Linked DNA regions of Kluyveromyces lactis. The protein of the gene in region 5 purifies or fractionates together with the protein of the main gene of each other region. This does not show direct contact. Links are inferred from orthologs where the notes say so. Each region holds a gene or a part of one and is shown on either strand. Other genes may lie near its edges.

Region 1 (4,075 bases), on a different chromosome or scaffold from region 5:
TTGCTTACCCACATGCACTCTACCGATCTTATCACCCATAGTATCGATCTCAACGTTCTTAGCAACTCTGACTTCCAATTGTCTAGGTTTCTTATGGGCTTCCTTGACCATTTCTGGAGATGGAGTGTGAATTCTTCCGATCTTGAAATCGAATCTTGGACCAATCTCTTCCAATTCCACTCTAGGTAACTTCTTACCACCTTGTTCGGACTTGTAAGTCTTCAAGTGATACACTCTGAATAGAACATTTGGTAATGGTTCACCGTCTTGGAAATCACCTTGGACAGTGATAGAAATGATATGTTGCAAACCTGCAACATCTTGCAAAGTGGTATTCTGACCTCTGAAAAAGTCAAGGAACAATGATTTGATATGCTGGTAAACTGGATGTTGTTCAAAGGCTGCACCTTGGAAACTGAACATTGGCTTTAACCCAACGTTAAAAGTTTGTTTTCTGAAATCAGACAAAAGTTTATAGTTTTCTGCAATCTGCAACTCGATAATATCATAGATCTTATACCCAAACGTACGAATAAAAGTCAAATTGTTTCTTCTCTTCTTAGAATGTGTGCTCAACACCATAAGCGATGTATCATTCTTTTCAGATAAAAACTCTAATGGTTCATAATCTTCAAAAGGTCTGATGTTGTTCTTCTTGGAGAATCTCTTGATATCAGGCTTCTTCAACGCACTCAAATCAACCATTGAATCATGCAACAACTTGGTAGAAGTTTGACCAGGAATGAATAAAGCTTGCTTTACATTCTCAACCAATTTTGCTTCTTTTTTATCCAAAGCCCTTTTAGCACGGGCATTCTTAGGCTTTACTGTTCTGATCATCCTGGTGTTTACGGTGTCTTGATACAAATCACAACAATTACACCTTATAGGATAGAAATCTGAGCCAAAAGATGAACTATGTAGACTGTAACTTAGCTCATCGCATTTAGCTCATCGCATCGATTTGTTCCAGTTTAAAGATTTAATTTTCCAAGTTACTTGATAAGTGAAAAGAAACTATTCCAAAGTCACGTGGCGGAAAATGTTTCACGTGACATCACTTATGACGATTTCTTTGGCGACAATGAAAACAGAAACATTGACCAAGATTTTAAACAATGAGCATCAGAGAGTCTATTTACCTTTATAATTACAGCAATGCAAGGTCAAGCTAGGTTCGGCTAACAAGGTAGTGGATCAATTGAGATTAGAATTTCAAAGTTTTACATTTGGTGATTCTTTTGGCTTTTTTTTTCAGTGTCAAGATAGTACAAGATGAAGCAATTGTTTCAGCTCAGGAAAGAGCTTAGTGTACCAGCAGCAGCACCAGAGGATTCAGTAATCTCTGCTGAGGAAACGACAACTGGTTCTGCTGTCACCAATGTACAATTTTCGAATGAACAAGTTATCACAGAGAATGGGAAGTATAAGGTATCGAAGTTAGCGCCAAGTTTAAGTTTTTTGCCCAGTAATGTGGAATTATGTTGTAGCGTTGATGCAAAATCTGGGTACGCCTTATGCTGCGATACTGATAATGTTTACGTTTGGCCATTTTTATCTTCTGAAACACACCCTAGTTTTGTAAGGATTCCATTACATGACGAGGAATATGAATCATGGTCCCGTCCTCCATTATGTTGCTTTACGTGGCCTAGTGTGCTCGAACGTGACTTGAAATCAAGCCCTGGCTTATTTTTAGTGAACAGTAGATCCGGTGACATTCAATTCTATGAAGATGTTGATACTGTGAGTCAAGTGGCAAGTTTCTTGACGCAAACCAAACGTCATAAATCAGTTTTAAAACTACGTGACGGTGAATATGTAGAGAATTTGATTAATGCAGAACCAGCTGGAATATTACTTTCGACAAATTACGGGCGTGTTGAGTTTTGTACTATAAGAGATGCTAACGGGAAACCTTTTGTATCGCTAAAACAAACCATAATAAAATGTCAAGTCGGAATCTTTTCATCCATGTCCAAATCAAAGAGAGTGGTATCTCTCAAATTGGGCGAAATCAGCGGTAAAGGAGAAAGAATAGTTTCTATTTTAACCCAGGGCGGGCGATATCAGGTGTGGAACCTTTCATCTGTTGGGAATTGTTACAAAAAGATCGATTTAAATGTACAGTCTGAAATTTCACAGGCAGTCTTAGAGCATTTCCCCTTGGCAACATCTACACTGAAACTACTCGATTGTCATCCTTTATCAGGAGACTCGGATGCATACTTGTTCTTGAGTTTCTTAGCGGAAAGTAACGAAACGCACTATTTACTATCAACCATCATTGTGGATGAAGATACTAACAGTTTCGCTATCTTCTCTACTTACAGATTAAACACATACACGCGACCATTATCAGATGAATTTGCCCCAAGACTTATAGTCCCAACTGCATACACCAAGGAACATTTACCGATAACGTCTGTTTACACTTTATTCTCTGATGCTGCTGTCCTAACTCAAACAAGTTCCAAATTGGACTCTAATTATCCATTTAAAAGGAAATGGGAGGACATTATACGGTTTAACAAAGATATGAAAGTTCTTGGGTACGATTGTAATTCAAGTTCCTTATACATTACTGATGGAAGAACATGTGCGTTAAAGTTGGAGACTTTTGAAAAATACGAAAACTCTGACTTCCAAGAAATTAGATTCATAAAGTCTCATGTGGATCAATACGTCTATTTTGGAGGACAATCAACGGATTCATTACTAGACTTCAACTTACCTGACAATCTAGATCTACAACCACAAGAAATTGAAACAGATATTCAAATGTCCAGTGATGAGATTAAATATGCATTATCAAACCACATACCGCCTGTTGCTAACAACCCCATGAAACACTTAAAAATAAGAAGCGAACTTTTTGAAAGACTTCTCACATTTGTTGCTCATAATTTTTTGGATCAAACATCTTCCCAATTCAAACTGGACTTGATTTCTGATTTTGAAATGATAAAATGTTTGGAAAGCTTGTACTCTTTACTACCGCAACAACCAACATCTATTTCACAAGCTTGGAAGACAGTACTATCAGAAAGTTCCTATCAATCGGATTCTGATTTTATCTCAGACGGCATTGTTAAGATTCCAGAATTATTGGGCGCCTTTTTGAAGCATTTGAAAGACCTAATGAAATCCACAAATGAAACTATGTTAAAATCTCAGATCGCAAAGCTTATAAATCAACTAGTTTATCATTCCATATTAGAAGAATGTGAAAACAGCTACAGGTATGGACTTTTCCAGATGAGCCCAGATGATGTATCAAAAAATATCCCTTGGTTCACAACAAATAGCATAATAGAAAATCTTAATGACATCTTCTTCTTGTTAAGGCATGCCTCTGAAGATCTTGCCGTTGTGTCAGAATTTGTAGAGGAATTACTGCTATTGGTTAAGTCTCTATTTTATATGGTCAGGCAAATAACCATGTGGATTGATGCAAATGCCATTACTGATTCTAGTTATAAACAGTTTTTCGAAGAAAATCATTTACTTTGGAATAGGGTCCTTAGGGATGTTAACAGGTCTCAGGATTCAATTCTAATCACAGATTTTTACCAAGACTTTGAAGGCTTAGTTGAAACTTTGCAATCTCTGCCAAAAATTACCGCATTCTCTCTATACGATGAATTCTTCCAGAAATACGGATACGACTTTGCAAAATCCTTATTTTCCTACTATATCAAGGAAGGGCTATGGGATGATCTTTACGAATCGTTTGGTGAAACCCATTCAGAATATTTGGACCAGTTCTTAGGAGAATGTCCCGAGTATGGCAAAGTTAAATGGATTGGAAACATATATTGCCATAAATACGACGAAGCAACTACAACTTTGTTGAGTATTTCTACTGGAACTCAATCGCTGGGTCAAGATTTGAAACAAAGACAGGCACAATTGAGTATTGCCAAATTAACAGCTCTTGCCGCGGAAGTTCAAGATCTTGAAAAGCTAAACGAAATTCAAACCGAATTAGATCTCATCGATGGGCAAATTCTTCTATCCCAAGAACTACAAGAATCAACTCTCAACCCACTATTCAAAGACTTTACCACCTATC
Region 2 (4,225 bases), on a different chromosome or scaffold from region 5:
TGTTGATGATTGAGGAGAGAATCTCTCTTATTAAATTTTTGGTTTGTTCATTGGGATTGAAAATATCCTTGAATTTCAACTTGCTTAAGTCGTATTGAATATCGAAATTCAAGTACTTCATAATGTCAACAAATGCTAAGTATTGCCCTTCGTAACCATCTACTTCACTCTCTTCGAATAGTACGTTCAAAAATGAAAGTGACTCCTTTATGGATTGAAGGAGTTTGATAACTGCGTTCATAGCAACATTTTCTGCCTGATGCGCAACATCTTCTCCTTTATCCACCACCTTTTCTCCATTAATTGGAGAAATATTAGTGATTGTTGTAATTGAATTACCATATGATTGGAAGAACTCGTTTAAAATCATTACTGAGGATAGATAATATTCGATATCACCTCTTGATACAACGATTTTTGTAATAATATTATCACCTTTAATTGAACTCTTCATCACTGAATTATCCGGATTAATTTTTACATGGGGATCGAGTTGGAAAATATCTTTATCCCATATGTCTCTAAATAATCTGGCAATCAACAGAGCGGTACCGTAGAATCTAGCGGACAAGATGACATCATCAAGGTTGAAATTATTTGCACCAGATACATTTGGTGTCGAAAGAGTATTGGCAGTTTTGCTTAATTCAGTAGAGCTTTTTTGTGGGGTCATCAAATTCAGTGATGGTTTACCTAGTAGTGTTGATACCGCACTGTTCGCGTATTTGTTGTATGTTGGTTTGATTTCCACAACATTAGGTATACCTACAGTGAAAAGAGTTAACGCATTGGATCTCAAAGACTCTGACTTATTGAATTTACAAGTGACAAATAAAGCAGATGAGCAGGTTTCGACTAACCCATAATTTACAATGAAGGGCAGCGGGTTGTTAATTAAGGACTCCAAGATCTGGTCTGGGTTACGGTATTTATAGATTTCCACAGATGTATTTGTTAAAACGGCAACCTTCAATGGTTCTACACTGTACTGAGTTGCAAAAGCATTGGCATAGCCCTCTGGCTTATTGGCACCGTTGAACAAAGAGGATATGGGGATAACTTCTCTTACTGGGGCGGTGGTATCCAAAAATACAGAATTTTCGACGTAGCGACCGTGATTCTTCAAAATACCATAATCTGGTACACTGACAAAGAGCTTATGTTGTATTGGAGTGTTTTGAACAGTTGCTACAGGTGTTCCCATAGTTCCCAATGTTTGTTCCGCTGGATGTTTTGTAACAGCAGAAAAGAAAATGCCAGGTGAAATAATTGACGAAGCTTTCGAGCTTTCAAGTAACACTGACGATTTTTTCTGGTATTTCAACTGTACAGATTCCATACTGTTGAGGGAAGAATAGAAGGGTGTAAGTTTTCTAGTTTGTTGCTGCTGCTGCTGTTGTAACTCAATTTCTATGGTTTCTGGACTGACAGAACTTGGTGGGAACTTGATGGATTCTAATCTTAAAGCTTCTACGCTACCAGAATTAACAGAACCATTGAAATATAACCTAACACCGCCAATTGTGATAGCTACCAAAAATAAATTGTTATTCTCTTCTTTCGAAACCACCTCTACTTTAACTATTTTCAAATATTTGTTACCCAAGATAGCAGCTCCTCTAGCCGGAGTCGTTCCCATGATACGTTTAATATAAGAGGGTTCGATTGTAGTTGGTCCATCTAAGGATTTACCATTAATCTTATAAGCTCGGATGACTGATTTTGATGATAATGAGTACAAAATACCACGCGATTGGTCTACAGTCAAATGTGTAATGTATTCTTGTGCATACTTTGAATCTTCTTCAAATAAAGATTGTACAAGTGCCGAGCCTGGAATCTTGGAGAAAATATTTGTGGGGAGTAAACTCAAAAGAGCAGACTGTGTCAAACAAAGTTTGCTGCATTTATTGTTAAACCAATCTTCTGAAGATGAATATTGAAGTTCCCAAATGTTGGTCCCATTGCTGTTACCAGAAAAGAAGATTTGTCCTGTTTTCTCATAATAAACGATTTCATGTACATCCAATCCATGAACAGAAACGCTCATCCCTGTGTTGAAGATATTGAACGAGCCGCTGATTCTGTCATAAGAAATTGCGAGTATGTATATGTCAAAAGGAGTTGTTATCAATAACAAGTGGTTGATTGATTCCACGAATGTATCAGGTTTCGGTTTCACTAGGGCAACTTGTAATATGGTATGCTTGATGTCATCTATTGATTGGAAATCTGAAGGGTTATTATAATGCCAGAGGATCAACTTGCTATCAACAGTGATCCAACAACGTTCAATATCGGGAAATAAACCCATATTTGTTTTGATTTCAGCAGTAGATACTTGCTGCAAAATTTCATCTGGTATGTTAATCACATTAAGTCTTTCAAACGGAGTAAATGGGCCTAATCCACCAACTTCCTTGGAAAAATTGTAGTTAACCCCATTATTGTAGTACGATCTTTCATCCAGTACCGGGGTACTAATGTCACGACGCAACAAATGATCAATGTATTGAGAGGCAAGATTCAGAGGATTTGCAGCACCAAGACCCGTTACCTTAATATGCTCATGTGAAGCATTAAAGTTCAGTGGGTTTACTGTGTTGCCGTTTAAACCTGAAATTACGTTTGTCATATTAGCACCGTACGTTCCTATAGTACCGTCTGATCCTTGTTGTTGAGGCACCAAAGAGGTATTGCCAATTCCATTCATCGGTAGCCCGTTGACATTGGCAGACGGGTTGGCAAAGTTTGCATTGCCATTCCAATTGCTTTTCAACGGCGTAGAATATATTGACATCTGTCCTGTCTTGCCGATACACTGTTAGCTCAAGTCTATACCCTATTTCCGAAATTCAAAAAAGACAAGTACACAGATACAGTAAAGCAAAATTTTATGCTGAGCAATCAGTTAACCAATTGGACAAAGTGCCCTTAGAGAAACATAACTGTTAGACCTGGTTCTGCAAGGTAGATTTAGAACATCATCTTTATTTGTTTATTCAGAGAACCAAAGAAAAAAATTTGAAAATGATTACCCGGAACTGGTGATCTAAACTGGAACATGATAGTGAACTCATAAAGGCCAACAATACCATTACAGTTCGACAGATCAACTTTATTCTAGTTGCAAAGCATTCAGTTTCTTGATTTCACCCATAAGAAACATCCAGTGTATGTTTTCATGTGATACGTGACGATATATATTAGTATTAGCAACTATGGGTACTTTATCATGTTCATTTATTTTGACACTTTTGTGACAAAATGTCAATAAATTGGTACTATAGGTAATGGAATATAAAAGATGATACCAGAAACCTTGGGTCCTGATTATAAGTTCAAAATTAAGTAAATTATCAATTAAATCTCCTGCTTTGAAAAGTACTACCCGGCAATTTTCCTATAGAAAAGCGTTCGCTCAAACAGAAGGCAAAAATGGTCGGAAAGCTTAGAAGAAAGATCCCATTGGATAACCAAGATGTTAATACCCAGCCGGCGAAAAGGATGTGCTTAAAAAAAAATATCCTATTGGAAGATTTGAATAAGGAGAATATTCCGATTGAAATACCTTACTTAAACGAAAGCCCTCAATCAGCTAGCAGCAGCCTTACAGGGGTTTTGAACTTACATCTCGAAAAACAATCTCCACAACGCAAAAGGCTGTCCACCAATATAGAGACGGACACTGTGTTAGATACGAAAAAGCAAGAAGTTTTGACTTCTTTAAAGTTAGAAGAATTACAAGATAATTTTAAGGACCTTGAAAGAAGATTAAGCATTCAAAATCGTGATTATTTCATCAAAGACGCTCACTATTCAGATGAAGATTTGACGAAGTGTAGAACTAATTTTTTGTTTGAATTGGAATGCTTACCAAACTTGAGCTGGTCTCAAAAAGGTAACCTTCGAACTGCTAGCTATATTCCGTCAGTGTACCAAAAGTTGGACCCAAATTGGTATTTTTCACAGGCGTTTTCAATTGATGATTTTACCAACTTGCCTGAATCAGTTAAGCCATTCTATATATTAAACCCAATGAATGAAGTACCAGAGTGCAATAACCAACAAATTGAACCAGTTGGACCGGAAAAGGCAACTGTGCATATTGAAAACATCGAACCTCTTTCTAAAATGATACCCAGCTCCAAATTAAAATTCCGTGCTAAGTCGTGTGCTTTTGATGAAGATATTGATTGCCAACTGTTGTTTAAGCAGAAAATTT
Region 3 (4,207 bases), on a different chromosome or scaffold from region 5:
GGTTCAATGATACCACCTCTCAATCTCAAAACCAAGTGCAAAGTGGATTCCTTTTGGATGTTGTAGTCAGACAAGGTTCTACCATCTTCCAATTGCTTACCAGCAAAGATCAATCTTTGTTGGTCTGGTGGGATACCTTCCTTGTCTTGAATCTTAGACTTGACATTGTCAATGGTGTCGGAAGATTCGACTTCCAAAGTGATGGTCTTACCAGTCAAGGTCTTGACGAAACTGTTTTCAAAAAGATATGATTTGTTAGTAAAAGTTTGAAACTCGATCAGAACAAAGTTCTTAAGGCAATCTTATTGGGACGATTCCTAGAATTAGTGAACGTTCAAGTTAATTTTGCTAGATTAGTAAAGCTTAATAAAAAACCAAAAAAAATTCCCTCTGTAGGTATGAATTGTTGTGCATTTGATAGTTAGGAGGTGATAGGTCCCATTAAACTGCTTCCTTGTATCCTTATTCATTCTGCAAAGCGTACTTGCTTTCGTTTGAAGAAATCGTGACATATATCTCACTCAACAGTTTAGACCGCGTACTCACACTCTCCGAAATGAAACGCTCAAGTTCTCACAGGATAGCGACTATCATGATATATGTTACACCAAACACAGTAAATCCTTGTCATTTTCATTAGTTGTTATCCGAGTTCGTCTTGTTGTTTTTTAGCTAATGTGCTTTCGTCCCATTTCAAAGTAGCATAAACCGTCTTGAATCACCAAGAAACCCCAAAATAAGATGCCTTTTGCTTATCATATTGTGCATACATTTGCATTTTTGAATCTTGTCCTTTCCTGATCTTTTTGATAGTAATCAACAACTAAGTACAGCTATCTTAAGTGCGTATGATTAAATGATATAATCCAAAATACTTTGAGTATGAATTCTTGCTTGCTTTCCTCAATCTGGGTTTGGTACATAGAAAGTTGGTGAACCTGAGGAATCGACAACGAGCAAAAACGAAGTGATTTCTGCAATTAGAAAATAAAAATACCGTTTTGAGGAATATATGCATTTTTAATTGTCAAGCCCCGAAATTTATACACCCAGACACACTGTTGAATAGTGCACGGATGTTGTTGCAAACCGTCCCAACTTGGAACGTAGAATTTTACTGGTACCGGTTACCCTGATTGTTAGTTTAGATACGACTTCTGTATTTCGTTCTGCAGTCAGTTCGTGGTATCTGGTCGTTATTTTGAATTTCACCGAATTGGACCTAATATTGAAATTGAACAAAAATTACCTGTCAAGAACAAAGCCTATGTGCATTGTATATGCTCATGTATACCTGCAGAAATTTTTAGTATACTTCTAATTGAATATCATAGCGATTAGCTTGAACACTAGGTAAAAGTAGCGTCTTATAGATTGCTATTCCATTGTTGTGTTGTGGAGTTGAGAATGTCCGTAGAACCCATTGCCTCTAGGGTCGCAGACTTTCTACAAGTCGACCAGCAACTGATACAAGACATTAATAATGATGTTTTAGGTAGGATTGAGGAGAAGTTGGAAGATCTTCGGAAACAAAAATCTGAAAACCTAAGAATAACTGCTACCTTGGATCAATTAAAATCTCAATCAGAGAACAAACTAGAATCATTCAAAATTCACATCTCTCAACTAGCCAAGGCATTGGAAGATGGGAAGGATGAGCGCTTACACTTTGAAGAAGAGAAAAGGCGTCTAATTGAAGGAAATTCACAAGTGACCAAAAGAATCATAGAATTGGAACAAGAAATAGAAGTAGAGAGGCAACAAAAAGAACTTGCTGACGCTTCTAAGCAAGATATTGCAGAGTCACTAAACGAAAAAATTGAAGAACTCAGTTCTACCAAAGCTAAATTGAATGAAGCACAGGGAGCGAATAAGGAACTTAGACAAAAAGTCGTCAATACTGAAACTGAGCTACAAACTCAGCAGGCCTTAGAGCTACGTTCGAAAAGCGAGATTTTAAGGATGGAACAAGAAATCACATTATTGAGAGAAAACAATGACTGGTTGACCAATCAGTTAAATACCAAGACCGTACAACTCAATGAGTTTAGAGAAAGCACAATTAGTGAATTACAAGATTCTCAGTTAAAGGTATCGAATATGGAATCAGAGTTGGAAATAGCTCGAACCAGTAATCAGAAACTAAAACAATCGGTACACAGTTTACATGAACAACTGGAGCAAAAACTTTCCGAGAACAAAGAAATTAAAGATGAGTACAATTTCTCTAAACAAGAGCTTACGAAAGAGATGTCTTTAAAGCAGAGAATGATTGATGCTCTAGAGAAACATATGGAATCATTGAAGAAAGAAATGGATGCTACAAAGAATAACATGGACTCATCATATTTCACCGAAAAAGAAAGAGACGAGCTCATTGAAGAGCTCAATGCGGTCAAATATCGTTTAGACGCATCTGAATCTAACTGCATAAAACTTAAGGAGACAATCGATGAATTAACATCCAACATAAAATTAGAAGACTCCGAAGTTGGTAATACCACTGCGTCTTCAGAAAAATCGGTTTCTGTCATACCTAAGTTATATGGTGATTTGGGAATGCTCAAAAAACAGCTGGTTATTGAGAAAAGACAAAAAGACGAGTTAAAAATGCAAGTGGAAGCATTCGTTGTTGAATTAGAGCATAAAATCCCTGTTCTCAATTCCTTCAAAGAGAGAAGTGAAATGCTTGAAAGAGAGTTAAATGAGGTTACTATTTTGTTAGAGTCAACTGGCAAAGACCGTGATCAAAAGTCGTCACAACTTGATTATTTGAAAGCTACTGTGAAAAGCTATGAGACTCAAATAGCCTCCCTATCTAAGCAACGTGTTGACCTTGCCCATCAGATACAGTACTTACTCGTGAACGAATCTATTAAGTCAGAGGATGGCGGACCATTATCCGCTGAAGAATTGCAATTTGTCAAAAATCTAACCAACTCTCAAGAAATAACAAAGACCTCTGACACTCAAGGCATTATAACCGATCGACTAGTAGAATTTAGATCAGTAGTTGAGTTGCAGCAGAAAAACTCCGAACTTCTTTCTACAATTCGCAATCTTGCTGATGAATTAGAACGCAGGGAAGCTGAAAACAAATCTCAAATCCAGGTATTAGAGGATGAAACGGTGAGAGAGGCAAAAGAAACCATTCTTACACTTCATGATCATGCACAGAACCTTGAAAACCAACTAGTCATTCTATCAAAGGAGAGGGACGCATACAAGGCATTGTCAGTAAATGCTAGCTCTGGCACAAACACACCTAAGGCCATTACTTACCCTTCTCCTGATAATGACGATAAAGTGAAGGATCTCGAAACAAGACTCACCGCTGTCATTCAAGAAGCAGAGAATAATGCCAAGGAATGGTCATCAGAAAACAGCAACCTGCGTAAGAAATTATATGAAATATCACTTAATTTCGAATCTGAGAAAACTTCACGTACTCTTGCAGAAGATAGGTTAAATCTATTACAATCAACTTTAGAGCTTTCCAAACGCCAATGTGAGGAGCTACAAAAAAGATCATCTGATCTACAAGATATTTTAACAAAACAGGACAAACGTACACAGGAGACTGTAGATTCCTTAATCAAAACGAAATCCACTTTGTCATCTATACAATCGGAACTATCCATCTTGAAGTCTGAAAAACAGTTTATGGCAAAGGTTCAAAAGGAACTGAAGGCAGAGAACGAAAGATTTTCCAAAGAAAGTGTCGAATACAAGGTGTTAATTGCGCAACTTCAGACACTCCAACGTGAGAGAGAAATGTTACTCAAGGAAACTCAGAATTCTTATAAGGAAAAGCTTAGAAAATTGGAAATTGAGTTGTCTGGTTCACTCGAACGCCTTGAAGAAATTGAAAAAAACACCACAGGAATTGCTAGCAATAAAGAGCATCAATATAATTGGTTTCAAGAAAAGATTGATAAGTTAACTAGTGAGGCAGCTCAACAGAAAACGACCTTAGAAGAAAAAGAAGCTCAACTTCAGAAAATGCAATCCACTATCAATGAACAATCCGCAAAACTCAAGGAGGCCGAGGCACGGGCACAATCATATACGATGTTAAGTAATGTCGATGATGCTCAAAACCTAGTTGAGACTTTGAGACAGGAATTGGAAAAGGTTAACTTGCAACTTTCTGATTCATATTCACAAATAGAGCATCATAAAACTCTGGCGGAACAGTCCGTGCAAT
Region 4 (4,265 bases), on a different chromosome or scaffold from region 5:
CTGTATTGGACTTCAAAATGGTTGTATTGTCCCACAACACCGTTATCGGTGCTGCAGGTGCAGGTATCTTGATTGCCGAAATTCTATTAGCCAAGAACATCATCTAAACGCAAAATGATAATTCTTCCTGAAGCAAATTTGAAAGGCAGTTTCTAGTGCTCCGAATATTTTTGTTTCTTTCACGTAATCATGTATAACCAGATAAAATGTAATTCATAATTCATATTTCGTTACAGAATACCTACAATGGGCACTAATCCATTTCAGCGCAGAGCTTACTAAGATGACGATCTGTTTATCATGGAATTAGTACTGCTCGATGAAGAGACTTTATATGAGTACATTTTCGAACGATATGTGGAATTAGAGGCTAACGCAAACGATTTATCTCAAGATCTCGGTATTCTGTCGAGAAACGAATCAGAATTAGAGATAGACATTGGGCCACATCGCCTAGTGACCAGGAAAAAAAAAGCACCAGAAAGAGATGAGTATACATTTAGTATACACCAAAACCTAACCTCTTTAAATTCCAACCGTGATAATAATAACTCGACGACTGGATACGTCATTTGGACCACGTCTACTTTTATTCTCAAATGGTTATTATACAATGACAACGCTACCATATTCACAAGAGGGGGTGTAAAGGATGAGGTAGATATTACATCCATTTTTCAATGTCAGCAAGATGATAAACTACGATATGTCCTTGAACTGGGCACTGGAACATCACCAATGTTTCCTATTGTTTTCTCTAATTACGTTGATAAATATGTGGCCACTGATCAAAAGGACATCTTGCCTCGATTAAAAGATAACATCCAAGAAAACCAGTCAGAGTGTAGACGGAGACTGCTTAAATCCAACACAATTGCTTTAGATGATCTTAAGAGACGTACTGAGTTGGAATGTCAGATTGACATAGCGCTGTTAGATTGGGAACTGTTCTCAGGTAGCAAGAAATCTAGAAACGATCCCGTTCTTCAATGCGGACCGAACTTCCATCTGACTATAATCGCAATGGATGTAATATACAACGAATACTTAATTGTACCATTTTTAACCACTCTTGAGTCGTTATTCGTCTGGTATACCGAACAACGTGTAACGGTATCGGCATTGATCGGAATTCAACTTAGAACTCAAGATGTACTTGAAATGTTCCTCGAAGAGGCTATCATAGAGAGACAATTCATAGTGCACGCCGTCGATGAAAAAGAACTTAACAAGTCACGTTTCATACTCTTACACGTAAATTTGCCCTAGTTCATATACACTAGGAGGGCTTCTCTCTCTATAGATACCTTAATGCAGTTCTTCTGAACATACTGCCGTAGCATTAATTTTTAGCATTTGAAGATATAATGAAATACAAAGAATCATAACCCAAGTAAACTATTAACCATTATATAGATGTTGAGTTGAAAACAACTCCTGCACCAGTAGGCCGTGCATTGTAGCCATGTTAGGGTCAATGTTTGGGGGTTCCTCCATACCACCGTCTGCTGCACCCTTTAGTATGCATGATAGCTCTAGATCATCTAGTAATCATGCGGAGAAACGCAAATTTAAGAGGCCTAATGGTAAATCTAGCAAGACTACATCCAACAATGGCTCTAAGGGGAAGCTAATAAAGAAAATGGTACCAACTTTGAGTCAGGATCAAAATGAAATCATTGGCACACTTTTTGATGGAAATCCAGCGATACTTGGGTTTCAACAGCCGACAAAACCAGCCGAGAGAGAACTACCGAGATATCTCATAAGACAGGCACCCATCTTGAAACCTGTACCGATAGTTCAAGACGAATGGGATAAAAAAAACCAGGAACGCATGCTTCAACTGGAAGACAACATATCTGATGTGACTACACTCTGGGAAACATTGAAGAAGATGAGAGACGAAGAAAGAGAAGTAATGGAAGAGAAAGGACTCGTTGACAAAGCAGATCAGGCGAAAGATCTTACTGAAGCAATCATTTTCCAAGGTACGTGTCAAGATATGTGTCCAATCTTTGAGAGAGCTAGAAGAAGTGTTGAAAACAATGTCGTGAGGTATGAAAAAGCTAATCCAAGTGATAAAAAAGTTGATAGAGGTAAAGCCTTAAAGGTATTCGCTAGACCTGCAGCTGCAGCTGCTCCACCATTACCGTCTGATGTTAGACCTCCTCATGTGTTATTGGGAACACTGGACTACATAGTAGATGAAATCGTCCCTCTACTACCAGACTGTGAAGCCTTTCTATGGGACAGGATGAGATCAATAAGACAGGACTTTACTTACCAGAATTACTCAGGACCTGAAGCCATTGATTGTAACGAGAGAATTGTAAGGATACATTTGCTAATTTTGCACCAAATGGCAAAGACAGATATTACCTTCAGTGTTCAACAGGAACTTGAACAACTACACAAGGCGATAATTACTTTATGTGAAATATACGACGAAGTAAGAGATCAAGGAGGACAATGCCCCAACGAAGCCGAATTTAGAGCGTACGCCCTTTTGAGTAAGATAAGAGATCCCGAATATGACAAGATGGCCCAGGACTTACCCAATGATATCTTCAATGACGAGCTAATGCAGTTAGCAATTACCTTCAGAAGAATTCTAGCGAACTCTAACCATGTGGAAAGAGGTGTTGTCGTAACGGAGAATTGCATGAATTTATACGACCGATTTTTTCAATTAATTCAATCTGATAAGGTACCCTTTCTAATGTCTTCATTTTTGCAGGTGTATCTCAACGAGATTAGATTTTATGCATTCAAATCTCTTTCTTTAGCGGTAACCAGAAAGGGAGGGAACTTACCATACCAATATTTTATAGAGCACTTTTTATTTCGTGATGCAAACGATTTGGAGACATTCTGCCGCTACTACTCCATAGATTTCGGTGATGGGAAGATATTATTGAAAAGTCTCACTGGAACTTCTCATTTCCTAGCAGAAACTCAGCCAATGAGAAAGAATTGGGTTTCATGCGTGGAGCAAAAATTACAGAGAAATACCACGACTGCTCTTATAAATAATCGAAAACACAATGTTGACACAATTCCTTCTAACAAGAGGTCTCTCCTGGACAACGTATCTCAACTAGAAGAATCACAGCTAACGCAATATAACCAAAACTTTGCTGGAACATCTGGTGCTAAGGAAACCCTTCCTATATCTGCAAACCGACCCTTTAGCTTCCAAACAAGTACTTCCCTAATCACAGAAAAGAATGCTACGGCCAATGGAAACCAACCGTTTATGTTTGGTACTCCGTCACAACCTAAAACTGATGTTAAAAAAGCCCCTAACGACGTGTCATTAGAAGGTGTAAAGCTCGGGCAAGCTGCACCTTTTGGAAAGACAGACGAATTTGTAAAAAAACAGGCATTACAGCAAAAACTGGAGGAACAAAAGCAAAAGTTCAACATGCAAAAGCAGTTAGACGAAAAAGCCCGACTTCTCAATGAAAAGCAAGGCTTAGAAAAACAAAATGAAGAAAAGCTGCGGAGACAGCTGGAATTAGAGAAAGTACAACAAGCAGCTATTCAAAGAAGAAATGAAATTGTCAATGAAACCAGCAGTAACATCTTTACTACTTTAATGGAGCAACAACTAGAAAAAACCATTAAAAATGAGATTCAAAAGAGACAAGCTAACGCCCTTCATATTGAAAATCTGAGCAGGGATTTATTTCGGTCATTCATACATGAACAAATATACTTCGTATTCCTTGAAGTGAGAGCCGATATATTTAAGAAAAAGATTATTACAATGCATGTAATGAAGAAATGGAGATCTAAGTTCAATAAAATACTGAAATTGAAGAAAATCAAACAACAAAAACAAGAAGAGGCTCTAAGATTGAGTAAGGAACTTGGAGTAGGAAAAAGAGTTCATTCCCTACGCTCCACTACAAAAAAAAATAAGTATCTGGACGCCAATTCCACTTTTGAAGCGTCTTCTTTCATTAAATCAGGCACAATGAATTACAGCACACCTTTACACTTGGAAGAAAATCATTTCACAACACCGGTAAGAAACAATTCAAATGTCTGGTCTCCTTTAGATTTGAAAGAAGTGTATTTTAACGAGTTGTTATCGCGGCTGCAAGGAATCTTGAAAGATAGTAAGCTTCAAAGCAAAGACATCAAATCACAAATTGACATCGTACTATATTCAAAGACCTGGGAATGTATCTCAGGCCAGTGGCTTTTAAGTAAGTTCCACCTAGCAAAGGACTCAACATACACGATAGATAGTCCGA
Region 5 (3,766 bases):
ATAGTTCCTTGCATATTCGTTTTCAGTCTTTTCACGGTTAACATGGGAATGGATAATGTTAGCGATGTCCACGGAAGACAATTCTGGGAATTTCAATTGGAATTCTTTTGCTTCAGAGATCCATTTAATGATTAAGTCTGGCACAACAACATAAGATGGTTTGAAGTTGAACATTTTGTCAACGAAGTGAGATGCTGTTTCAGAATGAATACCGTGTTTTGTGTACTCTTGCGAAGTGCTCCACCATTTAGAAACTACCATGGGTAACACAAACGCAAGTAGAATGAAATATGCAAAAACAACAAATGGGGAAGTACCTCCTTCCACCAAGAACTTGGGCAAAGCGATACCGTGAGAAGTAGATTGAGGACCATCTGGATGACCATACTTTCTATAATTTTCCTTCGTAATTTCATCAGTTAAAGCCTTATAAGCCTTGTTAATCATCACGAACTGTTCCTCCATAGCCGTTCTTTCAATCTCATTTAGGTCCTTGGAAAGCTTATCGGGATGGAATTTGACAGATAATTTCCTGTATGCAGACTTGATCTCTTTATCGGTAGACGAAAGCGTCACACCAAGTAACTCATATGGATCAAAAGCCGCTGCTGCAATCTGATAGATAGCATCGTTGGAACGAATATGATAAATCAACATCGAAATGAGCACCCAACCAACGGTAATGAAGTAAATTCCCTTCTTGGACCTTTTCTTCTTATTAGCAAGTCTATATTTCCGAACTTCTTCTGAAGTATATTTTTCGTGCAATTGACTCCATTCTGATGAAGAACTCTTATCGCTGGAGTCCCCAACAATCAATCTATACAGCTCAATCAATGTTACCGGTGTAACAGCCACAAATAACACCGTGAGTACGAAAAATGGCCATGTGGTGCTTGCCTCATCGTAATCATAATTCTGCGGCATGGCGTCGTTGTCTGTTCGTCTGCTTGTCTGTTGTAGAACCAAAAGACTGCCAATAAATTAAGCCGCTACAATAAAACACACAGCAGGCAGCAATCAAAAAAAGTGAACCACAGTGTACTATTAAACAAAAAAGCCTTCAAACTGCAAACAATTATTCCTCTGATCTAGAAAAGTAGTTAACAGTTAACTTATTTCGATTTTAATATGCCAGTCTGTATTTTCCAAAAACCTTTGGGTTTTTTTCCTTCTGTTTGAAACACTATACGTATTCAATACGGCAGAGCTTAGAAGAACAAATAGAAGAGAAAGACCAAAAAAAAAAAAGATATTTATACGTCACGTGCTCGTAATATATCACATGACCTTGAATTTTCTGTTTCGATTTGGTCGATCATCTCTTTCTACTAAACTGAAGAATAAAATTAAAAAAAAAAATGCTAAAAACCTAGAAATAATCAAAAAATGTGCTAGTCTCATTGGTAATTGAGATGGGAATAGAGATTGAAAGATGAGGCTCACCGGGTTAACCGATTTGGTTGAGAAAAGTCTTGTGATATAGCGTTACTAGAGTGATGCAAGTTAGTGGTTTTGGTAACGTGAATCAGATTGGTGCTTTGGCACAGCAAAACCAATTGGATAACTTAGTCAGCGTTAGCATTCGTGGATGGACTAACGCTACTCAACAGGATTTGTTGAATTTCATTTCGAGAAAGACCAGGATCTCAGTGAGAAACTCTGTGGTTCAAGGGGACACTATAGTTGGTTATGTGACACCGCAGGAGGCAGATCAATTGGTGAAATTTAGTGGGTACCGGTTTGCAGGCAATTCATTGAAGATTCACAAGGCAGCCGGTGGGAACACAAACCCTAATACGAATGATACGATAACCGTTCTTCGTAATGTGCTTTTGAGAAGATATAATGTGCAAACGAGGATGTTGGATCTTGGTAATTTGTTCAATGATCCGGAGTTGGTGCAACGCGGTATGGCTCCGAAAAATGTTAATACGCAGTCCAAGATGTTCCCGGCTATGATGAAAGTGGCTTCAAAGGAGCCTAGCATGGTTGTTGAATCGATCAACCTATCTGATAATAATTTGAGAGACGTCAATGGTGTTACCACGTTGGCACAGACTTTCCCTCATTTGAAAAACCTATGCATCGCCAATAATAGTATTAGTCGATTCCATTCTCTTGAAGTTTGGAAGAATAAATTCAAAGAGTTGAGGGAGCTTCTGATGATGAATAATCCAATTACATCGGATCGTTTATATCGTACAGAAATGTTAAGGATATTCCCCAAATTGGTGATTCTAGATAACGTTGTCGTTCGTGACGAGCAGAAACTACTGTCTATCTATAGCTTACCGGTACAACAAACCCAGTTCTTTTTCGAAGATAATGGATTGGCATCATCGTCAACAGATTTTATTACCAACTTCTTGAACTTGTGGGATTCGAATAGAATGCAATTGATGGGTTTGTACACTCCACAGTCTCAATTTTCCTTAAGTGTTGATTCTTCCGTTCCAGCTGCTACTGTACCTAATGCTCAAACGACTCCTACATTCGGTCATTACTTACCATTTTCAAGAAACATTTCCAAGATATCTAGCGACAAGACCATCCAAGAACGGTTACGTATAGGGCCCGAAGCAATTTATGAAGTGTTCGGATCTCTCCCTATGACAAAACATTTTTTGCAAGAACAACCTGATGCTTACTCTGTGCAAGCCTGGACCTTCCCACAAGTTCAAGGGTTTGTTATCACTCTTCATGGCCATTTCGATGAAACTGCCAAACCTGAAATTGACAAGAGCAAAACATCACAAGGATCATCTGCCTCTAGAGGAAGGAGATACAACCATGGATTTACGTCTACGCCGAACATCAAACTTTCACAGAAATCCTTCGATAGAACAATGGTCTTAGTTCCAAGTCCAAATGGTAGTGTCATCATTGCATCTGATTCGTTGACGATAAGGCCATTCTGTGATAGCGCTTGGTCTAAACCACCTTCTCCACCACATCTCCAAGCTCAATCTGTGCAACATCAGCCACAAATGAACGTGCCCCTCTCACAAACTCCGCCAAATACATCATCCATTCCTGGCCAAATCCCGGGAGTTCTTGGATCGACACCTTTGCAATTCTCACCGGAAGTGCAAGCAAAATTGTCACCTGTACAATTAGAACTACTTCAGAAGTTACACCTTGAAACAAAGCTTAACGCTGAGTACACTTATATGCTTGCCGAGCAAAGTCTTTGGAACTATGATAATGCTATCCAAGGATTTAGAAACAGTGCAAACAATCTACCCAGAGAGGCATTCATCTAAAAGTATTGAGCTAATCATGTGCGCTTCTTTAAAAAAGAACATCTTAATTCATTCAGTATAATATATAGTTGCATCTCACACAAATAAATTAAACTAAGTATATCCATCTATTTATATCAGTTGGATTCAAGGTGACTTGACTCTGTGACTATTTTTTATCATATATCCTGTTTGTCACAAAGTGTACGTCAATAAAAAAAGGGCCTAACATTCAGAACATTATACTAGCCAATGAACTCTTAAGCAAATTACAAATTGTGATTATAAGCTCACTACAGTTTTGCTGAAAACTCACTATTCCAAGGCAATATAACTACATTAAATGAGATCGATACCAGAACCTCGCCAATCAAAATATAATCGATTTAGAAGGTTATTTAATAAGGTGCATAATTGTGTCACTTTGAAAAGATTGAAAAGGCGATGGAACCTACACAAGTTGAAGAAGAGCTCAAGGAATACAAATCAGAGATCTGCAATCCCAATAGACCGTATTGCTA
Region 6 (4,209 bases), on a different chromosome or scaffold from region 5:
CAAGGAATTCTTCCACGCTACCCCAGCTTCTGTTGACGTTAAGACCACTGCTCCAAACGGTGTTGCTTTCACTGTTAAGGGTAAAACTTCTCCAAAAGATGGCTCAATTGCTGCTAACGTTGAAGTTAAGGCCTCTGACAAGTCTACTGGTTTGACTTTCACCCAAGGTTGGAACAACGCCAACACTTTGGACACCAAGATCGAATTGGCTGAATTGACTCCAGGCTTGAAGACTGAATTGATCACTTCTGGTGTTCCAGGTGTCTCTAAGGCTGCTAAGTTGAACGTTAACTTTGTTCAACCTTTGTTTGCTGCTAGAGGTTTCTTCGATTTGTTGAAGGGTCCATCCTTCGTCGGTGACTTGACCTTGGCTCACGAAGGTTTCGTTGGTGGTGCTGAAGTTGGTTATGACATCTCTGCTGGTGCCGTCTCCCGTTACGCTTTGGCTTTGGGTTACAACGCTTCTGGTGCTTATTCCGTTGGTTTGTCCGTCAACAACGCTCAATTGATCACCGCTTCCTTCTTCCAAAAGGTTTCCCCAATCTTGCAAGTCGGTGCTAAGGCTGCTTTGAACCCTCAAGCTGGCTCTAATGTCAACATTGAATTCGCTTCCAAGTACGCTTTGGACGCCGTTTCTCAAGTTAAGGCTAAGGTTGCTGACTCCGGTATCGTCGCCTTGTCCTACCAACAAATATTGAGACCAGGTGTCACTCTAGGTATTGGTGCTTCTTTCGACGCTTTGAAGTTGGCTGAACCAGTCCACAAGTTGGGTTGGTCTCTATCGTTCGCTGCTTAAATGCATACTTAGTAATTTTACACAAGTGTTAAAAAGAAGTGTTACTTTTTTCTAAGTTTATGTTATTTTGCTTTGTCCAATGGATCACCAGCCTAGGTTATCAATTTTGAAATGATTCACATTCAACTAAAGTATCATTCTTCTTGGCGTTCCATTTGATACCGATATATATATATATTGCCTTTCATTTTGTTCGCTTTTTTTTCAGAACAACAATATCCGCTTTGTTTTCATTACAGATATGGCCTCAATTACAATGTTAACGCCTACTTCTTTCGAAGATACTTACCTAACTAAATACGTATTCTTTAATGACCATCTAAAAAATTTTATATCTCAAAACATTCATGTCATAGTAAAGACAATAAAACATGAACACTAACCTCATACTGATTTCCGGATCACGTGATTGATAATTTCCTTCTTTTTGGAACTTTGTTTACTTCAAAGCTATCATCAAAAAGCTTCAAACCTGTACAAGCACTGAACATTGCAACTGATGCCCATTGAAATTCAAGGTTTACAAATTAATAAGCAGCTGAGGTTTATATTAATACACTAACGGATTGAAACTACTACTGTCGGCACAGATAAAAGAACACATACAGAATCAATGACGTCCTCTGTGGTTGATGCGTTGAATGTTGAAACTACTGAGAGCTTGGGATTCAAGTTTTTATTCTCTAAACAAATTGTTCCAGGCTTCAATGAGGATTTGCCATTCTCAAAACTGGCTAATGCTTCCATACATCCGTTGAAAAAATTACTAGCTGTTGCTTCTTCCAAGACTGTGTCTGTATATGATCTGCAATCTGTCCGTGATGAGTCCTTCATCACTCTAAATACGAAAGAGTTCACGGCGAAAGTAGTGGGCGTTTTTTTTGTGGCAGAGAGTTTGGCTACGGTCCTAGAAGATGGTTCAGTATGGGTTACCGAATTGGACCAATTCGCCTGGGAACAATACTGGGACGGTAATGGTGTCAATGAAGTCATTTGTTCTGTAATTTTCCAAGGGAATGTACTTCTTGCGAGTAACGCTAATGTCGTGTTTAAAATATCCTTATCGCAAAAGCATTCTTCCGAACAGTTACATTCAATCACAGGTTGCATCGCAATTGACACTTTGAAACATCAACTTTATGTTTTACACAAAAATGGTTCTATAGCTGTACTGGATGAACAGTTTAACGTCACATCCTCTATTGAAAAGCCATCTCTCGATGAACCTAACGAACCGTTGTCCATAAACGCTTTGTCAGAAAGCAGTTTACTCGTATCGTACGGCGAACCGGTCGATGCCTCGGAAGAAGATATCATGTACGATTTAACCGTATATTTTGTCAATGTCAATACTAAATCTTTTACTCCTTCCATGGATATCGCGCCTCCCTATTCAACAGTCAAAAGAAATCCTTCATACTACTCTCAAACATTGTATCAACTCGCTCAGCAGCTACCACATCTATTCGTTATAGGATCATCGTGTGCATCAGAGCTATCGATTGCCACACCGAACGTGATGTATAAACCGGACCAAGATGCTGCTTGTGCAATTCTTCCAATCAACCCTGAAACAGATAATGATACACAACCCATTGGGATGGCCCTAGATGTATTTTCCAGTGGTACTGTGTATGAGCCTTGTTCCGGAGTAGAGGCTGCTGACAATCTACCGATATTATATGTCCTCACCAATCTTGGGGAACTATTTTGTTGGGCTTTATTCCATCACTCTGCTTTACAAAACTCGAGTTTCACGCTAGAACCAACCAAAACTCAGTATGTACAGTCTTTCGAAATCTTATCTCATAAAATAGAAAGTGGTTCTTCTTCAATGGAAAAGGAAAAAGTTACTTTAATTTCTCCCCAAGACACTAAGAACACAATAACTGAAGTAAGAAAGGTTCCTGAACAATCGTCATTTTTTGAAACTACAAATTCCTTCGCTAAAGGTTTTTCGTTCACTCCGAAGAACATGACGGATAGTACAAATGCTGAGTCTGAGGGCTCTCAAAATCCTTTGCTGTCATCTGGTTCATCTCCTGCATTTGGAAAACCTGCCTTTGGCCAAGCAACATTTGGCCAAGTAACATCTAGCCAAGCAACACCTGGCCAATCAGCATTCGGTCAACCAGCATTCGGTCTACCAACTTTCGGCAAACCTGTATCTAGTCAACCAACGTCTGGACAATCAGCATTCGGTCAACCAGCATTCGGGGAGCCAGCGTTTGGGAAACCGGCATCTAGTCAACCAACATCTGGACAATCAGCAGTCGGTCAACCAGCATTCGGTCAACCAGCATTCGGGGAGCCAGCGTTTGGGAAACCGGCATCTAGTCAACCAACATCTGGACAATCAGCATTCGGCCAAGCAGCATTCGGTCCACCAACTTTCGGTAAACCTGCATCTAGTCAACCAACGTCTGGACAACCAGCATTCGGACAACCAGCATTCGGCCAACCTGTATCTGACCAATCGGCGCCCAGTAAACCAGCGTTTGGCAAACCAACATTTGGAAGTACATCATTTGGTACCCAATCTCAAACTAATACCACTTCACCCTTGTCCGAAGAGGCAGAGACGTCATCTGTCTTTGGAACGCCAAGTTTTGGCTCCACATCTTTCGGAATACAAGGAGCTAATGTTACCTCTCCATTCGGAACCAACACAAAAATTTCATCAGAGTCGTCTTTTGGAAAATCGCTCTTTGGAACTTCTCAGTTTGGCAGCGACAGCGCTGTTACCAACCCTGCACCGAATTCATTCGCTACATCTGCGAAATTGTCTTCACCATTTTCTGCCTTTGCTACAGACCAAAAGACCATAAATCCATTCGAAACTCAGACTTCTGATCCATTCGGCCACTTGAATTCTAAAAAAGAAGACACTAAGTCGTTCAACTTTACTGGTTTCGGTGAATCTATATCAGAAGCTAACCACAGTTTGCCATCCGTCACTCAAGATTCTTTGAATTCGAAAGAAGTCAGCGATTCGACGATCGAAAACGATCAATCTGAAGTGCCTAGTCCAGCTAATGATTCGAGCATTTCAGAAGATCAAGACGATATCGAATCTAACATTGTATCCTCTACCGATGAAAGTGATTCCTTATACGGAGAGGACAGGGAAATATATGATAATGATAGATCTGATATACACATCGAAGCCTCTTCAAAACCTTCTTCAACTGTTTTGAACTCAAACAGTGACATAGAAGAGGATGAAGCTGAGCAAAGCAACGAAGAACAAGCAAAAGTGGAGACCAAAGATGGGCAAGAAGAAGAAGAAGAAGAAGAAGAAGAAGAAGAAGAAGAAGAAGAAGAAGAAGAAGAAGAAGAAGAAGAAGAAGAAGAAGGAGAAGAAGAAGAAGAAAAGGAGGAGGGAGAGGAAGAGGAGAAGGAGCAGCAAGCGC
Region 7 (3,440 bases), on a different chromosome or scaffold from region 5:
CCATCTGGATAGCGAGAAACTAACAGAATTATTGAGGAAGAAGTATCCTTTTTTGGTGATGTATGATGGGAAGAACGATGTAATAGATCTTGGAAAGTTTTATTTAGGATTTGCACATTTTATGTCGCGAGAAATTACTTTTGCGGAGCAAATCAGCAGCGAATTTATATTCGCCTTCATGCGAATAGACTCAGAAAGAAGACGTCTTGAGCATGATGACGAATTGTTTTCCAAGGCATCCGATGATCTTTTGGCTACAAGAAGAAATATAAACAGATGGGCTAAAGAGTTAGAAGTGCAAATACTTCCTATTGTACTCTCTGCATACCAAATTCTTGCAGGTGATTTAACTGAGGGAGTAGAGAAGATAAAGGAAGCACTTAGGGATGAAACTTTGGATGGATTAGCCATAAGACTCAATATCCTTTCAGCGTATGCTATCGATATTATTAACGAAGTGATAACTATTTATCCGGAAATGTACAACCTGTCGGTATCTAATAAGAGAAGTCTTGGGGATTACTCTCTACACCTCACATTAGCAAGTCTTCTTTTGCAGTCTCTTCATCTATTTGCCGACCTTTGTGAACGCCATCCGAATTTATACCAACGATCGTTGCAACCTTTCACTTATGAACAATTCCAGATAGAATTGCAGGAAAAGTCGGAAGCAGTTACCAAGATCAACGAGGAATACGAGGAACTTATTAAAAGCATTACGACCATAACATTTAACAATGTAATAAATTACATGAAAGACAAGAAGACAAAACTACGAGACACTTCTAAAGAATACCTTTCTAAAGAATAGATATGAAGTAAGAAATTTCGACGGAATTTGTTATATGCATTGCATCTCATCACGAATAAATAAATTATAGCATAGAATCATTCTGCATTTCCACATGGAAACCCAATAATTAACTCCTCTAAATAATGAATACTTCCCTAGAGAAAGCTACTAGCAGTTTTATAAATATGAGAAAGATTTCTAATGCTCATCAACCACTGATCCAGGTCTCTACCTAAAACTGGAACAGGGTCTATTCACTGTCACTATCATATAGCAACTAACATATAATACAGGAGTTAACAACGAATCACGTGATAGCTCGGATAGCAGAGGACATCGTTCTGATTTCTTTTTCTCCACTCAACCTTCTGCGTAATATTCTACGATATTCCGTATACAGAGCCAAAAAAAAAATTGTTTCGGGCTGGTACAAGAAAAGGAAGAACAAGATTACATATACTTAAAACGAAATTAATTACGAATAATCTGAATGATTCTTTAGCAGTTATTTGAACAAGGATAAAAGCTAGTTTTGTTGCTTGATCAAACTAAAGAGGACACAAACCAAGAGTAGCAACATGTCAACTGTACCTGAATATATTGCCAGCAATTTAAAGACTGTCATCTCCGAGAGATTAAAGGTTGTTCCTAATTTCAACGAAGATGTTAACCAAGTCGCTGAGTATATTACACTTTTAATGTCCAACGGTTCCAGCGGTCCTGATATCGTACAAGAATTGACAAGTTTGTTTGATGGTATTAGTACGCAAGAGTTCCAGAGTGTTGTCTCCATTGCATTTACATCTGCAGATCTGTTGAAAGCAGGCGATGACTTGAACACCGTTTATGCAAAGTTGAGTGGTAATTCATCTCAACCTTCTTCAAGTGCACCTTCTGCACCTGTGTCAACTGGAACCGAAACATCTGTAGGAGTACCAGTACAGTCACCACCCGTTTCTGCTCCAGCTCCAAGTGCACCGGTTTCTGCATTTAGCGGGGTAGTAGATGTGTCTGCATCTAAATATAATACGGCTAACGAAGGGAGGTCTTCGCAACGTAACAAAGATTCATCGGCCCATAATGGGACTTCTAGACGTGGTGGTTTCAGCTCCATTAGAGGTGGAATTTCAAAGAGTGCTGGTGTTACCAATAGACGTGGAGTTAACTCGAGATACGGTGCTAACCAACTGGCGATGGCTCTTGGAATAAATGAATCGGAAGGCGCAAATGAAACATCTGGCCATGTTGTCATCAAGAGAGAAGGCCGTTGTCCTGATTTCCCTCACTGTTCTCTAGGAAGGAAGTGCCCTCGTGGACATCCAACCGTTACGTGTCCAAGTTATCCAAACTGTAAAAATCCACCAGGTACATGCACTTATTTACATCCAAATGAAGATGGACAATTAATACAAGAACTAGAGCGTGTAAGAGAAGAACGCAGGATAAAGAGGGAAGAGATGGAAAAGAAACAACAGCAAAGGATCAGTGGTATTGTTGTATGTAAATTTGGGATCATTTGTTCTAATCAAAAATGTCCATTTGGTCATCCAACTCCTGCAAATGAAGACGCAAAGGTTACCCAATTCAGTTGGTGCGAGAACAACTTGCAATGCACTGATCCGACCTGTAACAAGGCTCACAGTTCCTTATCCAAGATTAAGGAAATAAAACCAATCATACACAAGCCAGCACCAAAACCGGTCATTTCTAAACCTTCTAATCCAAAATTCGCGCCAAGATCGGTTGTCCCATTGGAAGAAAAGATTTTGGAACAATGTAAGTTTGGTCCAAAATGTACCAATAAAAATTGTCCAAAGAGACACGCAAGGTCGTCAATCATGTGCCGCGAGGGTGCGCAATGTACAAGAATAGACTGCCTCTTCGGTCACCCTATCAATGAACCTTGTAGGTACGGGGCTGAATGTAGAACATACGGATGTTTATTCCAGCATCCTCCAGAAAGGGTATTGCCTGAAAAGCCAAAAAAGCCTGATACAGAAAACACCAACGGTATTTGGTTCAATCCGCAGCTGATTGGAAGTGGAAATTCCTCGAGTAACGAGAGACCATTTGCTGTACCAGAATCTAACGTACAGTCAGTTCATGCTGGACAAGAAGTAGATGGCGATGCTATGATGATGAGTTAACATTCCAATCTACTCCGCTCTATTTAATGGTGATATCCTTAACTGTTTTATTTGAATTATTATTATAGTGTTATATCTATTAATTATTAAAAAAAAAAAAAGTCTTAAAAGGTAAAAAAATACTGTAAAGTAATAAAAAAAAAAGGTCAACCGGAAGAAAGACTACTGTAAAAAAGAGACTGGCAGTGTTTAAATTCCAGAAGCCTATTAATATGATTGGCGTATCTTGACCTGTACTCTAATGGTCATATAAGAGAAATCCCTTTTACCTTGATTTTATCACTATCTCTTTTTTTTACCATATGTCTTTTTCTCTGGTTTTTCTTGCTACGAAGTGTATAGGACAGTCATATAGTTTCCCTTAGTTAGTTTGTCACGTATATTGATCATTTATTATGATCGATCCTAAAGGGTTAAGGTCAATTATAATGAGTGTGAATATATATGATATGTAGCTTGTGAAGAGAAGAGGAACAATTGGTAAAATGTCAACAATATAT

What was found.
Region 1: the proteins of MEX67 (region 5) and NUP133 purify together in Saccharomyces cerevisiae (affinity purification with mass spectrometry; 3 studies listed by BioGRID). This does not show direct contact. The link is inferred for Kluyveromyces lactis from reciprocal best matches to the Saccharomyces cerevisiae genes MEX67 and NUP133.
Region 2: the proteins of MEX67 (region 5) and NUP170 purify together in Saccharomyces cerevisiae (affinity purification with mass spectrometry; 3 studies listed by BioGRID). This does not show direct contact. The link is inferred for Kluyveromyces lactis from reciprocal best matches to the Saccharomyces cerevisiae genes MEX67 and NUP170.
Region 3: the proteins of MEX67 (region 5) and MLP2 purify together in Saccharomyces cerevisiae (affinity purification with mass spectrometry; 5 studies listed by BioGRID, with this or other methods). This does not show direct contact. The link is inferred for Kluyveromyces lactis from reciprocal best matches to the Saccharomyces cerevisiae genes MEX67 and MLP1.
Region 4: the proteins of MEX67 (region 5) and SAC3 purify together in Saccharomyces cerevisiae (affinity purification with western blotting; 3 studies listed by BioGRID, with this or other methods). This does not show direct contact. The link is inferred for Kluyveromyces lactis from reciprocal best matches to the Saccharomyces cerevisiae genes MEX67 and SAC3.
Region 6: the proteins of MEX67 (region 5) and NUP159 purify together in Saccharomyces cerevisiae (affinity purification with mass spectrometry; 3 studies listed by BioGRID, with this or other methods). This does not show direct contact. The link is inferred for Kluyveromyces lactis from reciprocal best matches to the Saccharomyces cerevisiae genes MEX67 and NUP159.
Region 7: the proteins of MEX67 (region 5) and NAB2 purify together in Saccharomyces cerevisiae (affinity purification with western blotting; 6 studies listed by BioGRID, with this or other methods). This does not show direct contact. The link is inferred for Kluyveromyces lactis from reciprocal best matches to the Saccharomyces cerevisiae genes MEX67 and NAB2.

Annotation. Positions count from the first base shown.
Region 1 is NC_006037.1:703,054-707,128, reverse strand, and holds the start of NUP133 (Nup133p), read left to right. Parts: upstream 1-1,275; coding exon 1,276-4,075. Other genes in the region: rRNA-binding ribosome biosynthesis protein RPF2, read right to left, coding at 1-840. UniProt on the Saccharomyces cerevisiae protein: Functions as a component of the nuclear pore complex (NPC).
Region 2 is NC_006041.1:1,832,305-1,836,529, forward strand, and holds the start of NUP170 (Nup170p), read right to left. Parts: upstream 2,801-4,225; coding exon 1-2,800. Other genes in the region: KLLA0_E20637g (uncharacterized protein), read left to right, coding at 3,439-4,225. UniProt on the Saccharomyces cerevisiae protein: Functions as a component of the nuclear pore complex (NPC).
Region 3 is NC_006037.1:55,751-59,957, reverse strand, and holds the start of MLP2 (Mlp2p), read left to right. Parts: upstream 1-1,407; coding exon 1,408-4,207. Other genes in the region: RPL40A (ubiquitin-60S ribosomal protein L40 fusion protein), read right to left, coding at 1-231, 771-778. UniProt on the Saccharomyces cerevisiae protein: Together with the closely related MLP2, involved in the structural and functional organization of perinuclear chromatin. Together with MLP2, associates with the nuclear pore complex and form filamentous structures along the nuclear periphery.
Region 4 is NC_006040.1:1,418,083-1,422,347, forward strand, and holds the start of SAC3 (Sac3p), read left to right. Parts: upstream 1-1,465; coding exon 1,466-4,265. Other genes in the region: HOM2 (aspartate-semialdehyde dehydrogenase), read left to right, coding at 1-107; RKM5 (S-adenosylmethionine-dependent methyltransferase), read left to right, coding at 301-1,269.
Region 5 is NC_006039.1:845,802-849,567, reverse strand, and holds MEX67 (Mex67p), read left to right. Parts: upstream 1-1,499; coding exon 1,500-3,266; downstream 3,267-3,766. Other genes in the region: protein-transporting protein SEC63, read right to left, coding at 1-927; OSW1 (Osw1p), read left to right, coding at 3,589-3,766. UniProt on the Saccharomyces cerevisiae protein: Involved in the export of mRNA from the nucleus to the cytoplasm.
Region 6 is NC_006042.1:330,428-334,636, reverse strand, and holds the start of NUP159 (FG-nucleoporin NUP159), read left to right. Parts: upstream 1-1,409; coding exon 1,410-4,209. Other genes in the region: porin POR1, read left to right, coding at 1-796. UniProt on the Saccharomyces cerevisiae protein: Functions as a component of the nuclear pore complex (NPC).
Region 7 is NC_006042.1:904,012-907,451, reverse strand, and holds NAB2 (mRNA-binding protein NAB2), read left to right. Parts: upstream 1-1,371; coding exon 1,372-2,940; downstream 2,941-3,440. Other genes in the region: KLLA0_F09867g (uncharacterized protein), read left to right, coding at 1-811. UniProt on the Saccharomyces cerevisiae protein: RNA-binding protein involved in RNA processing and transcription regulation. Acts as a regulator of mRNA stability: binds the poly(A) tail of mRNAs and pre-mRNAs, preventing their degradation by the exosome.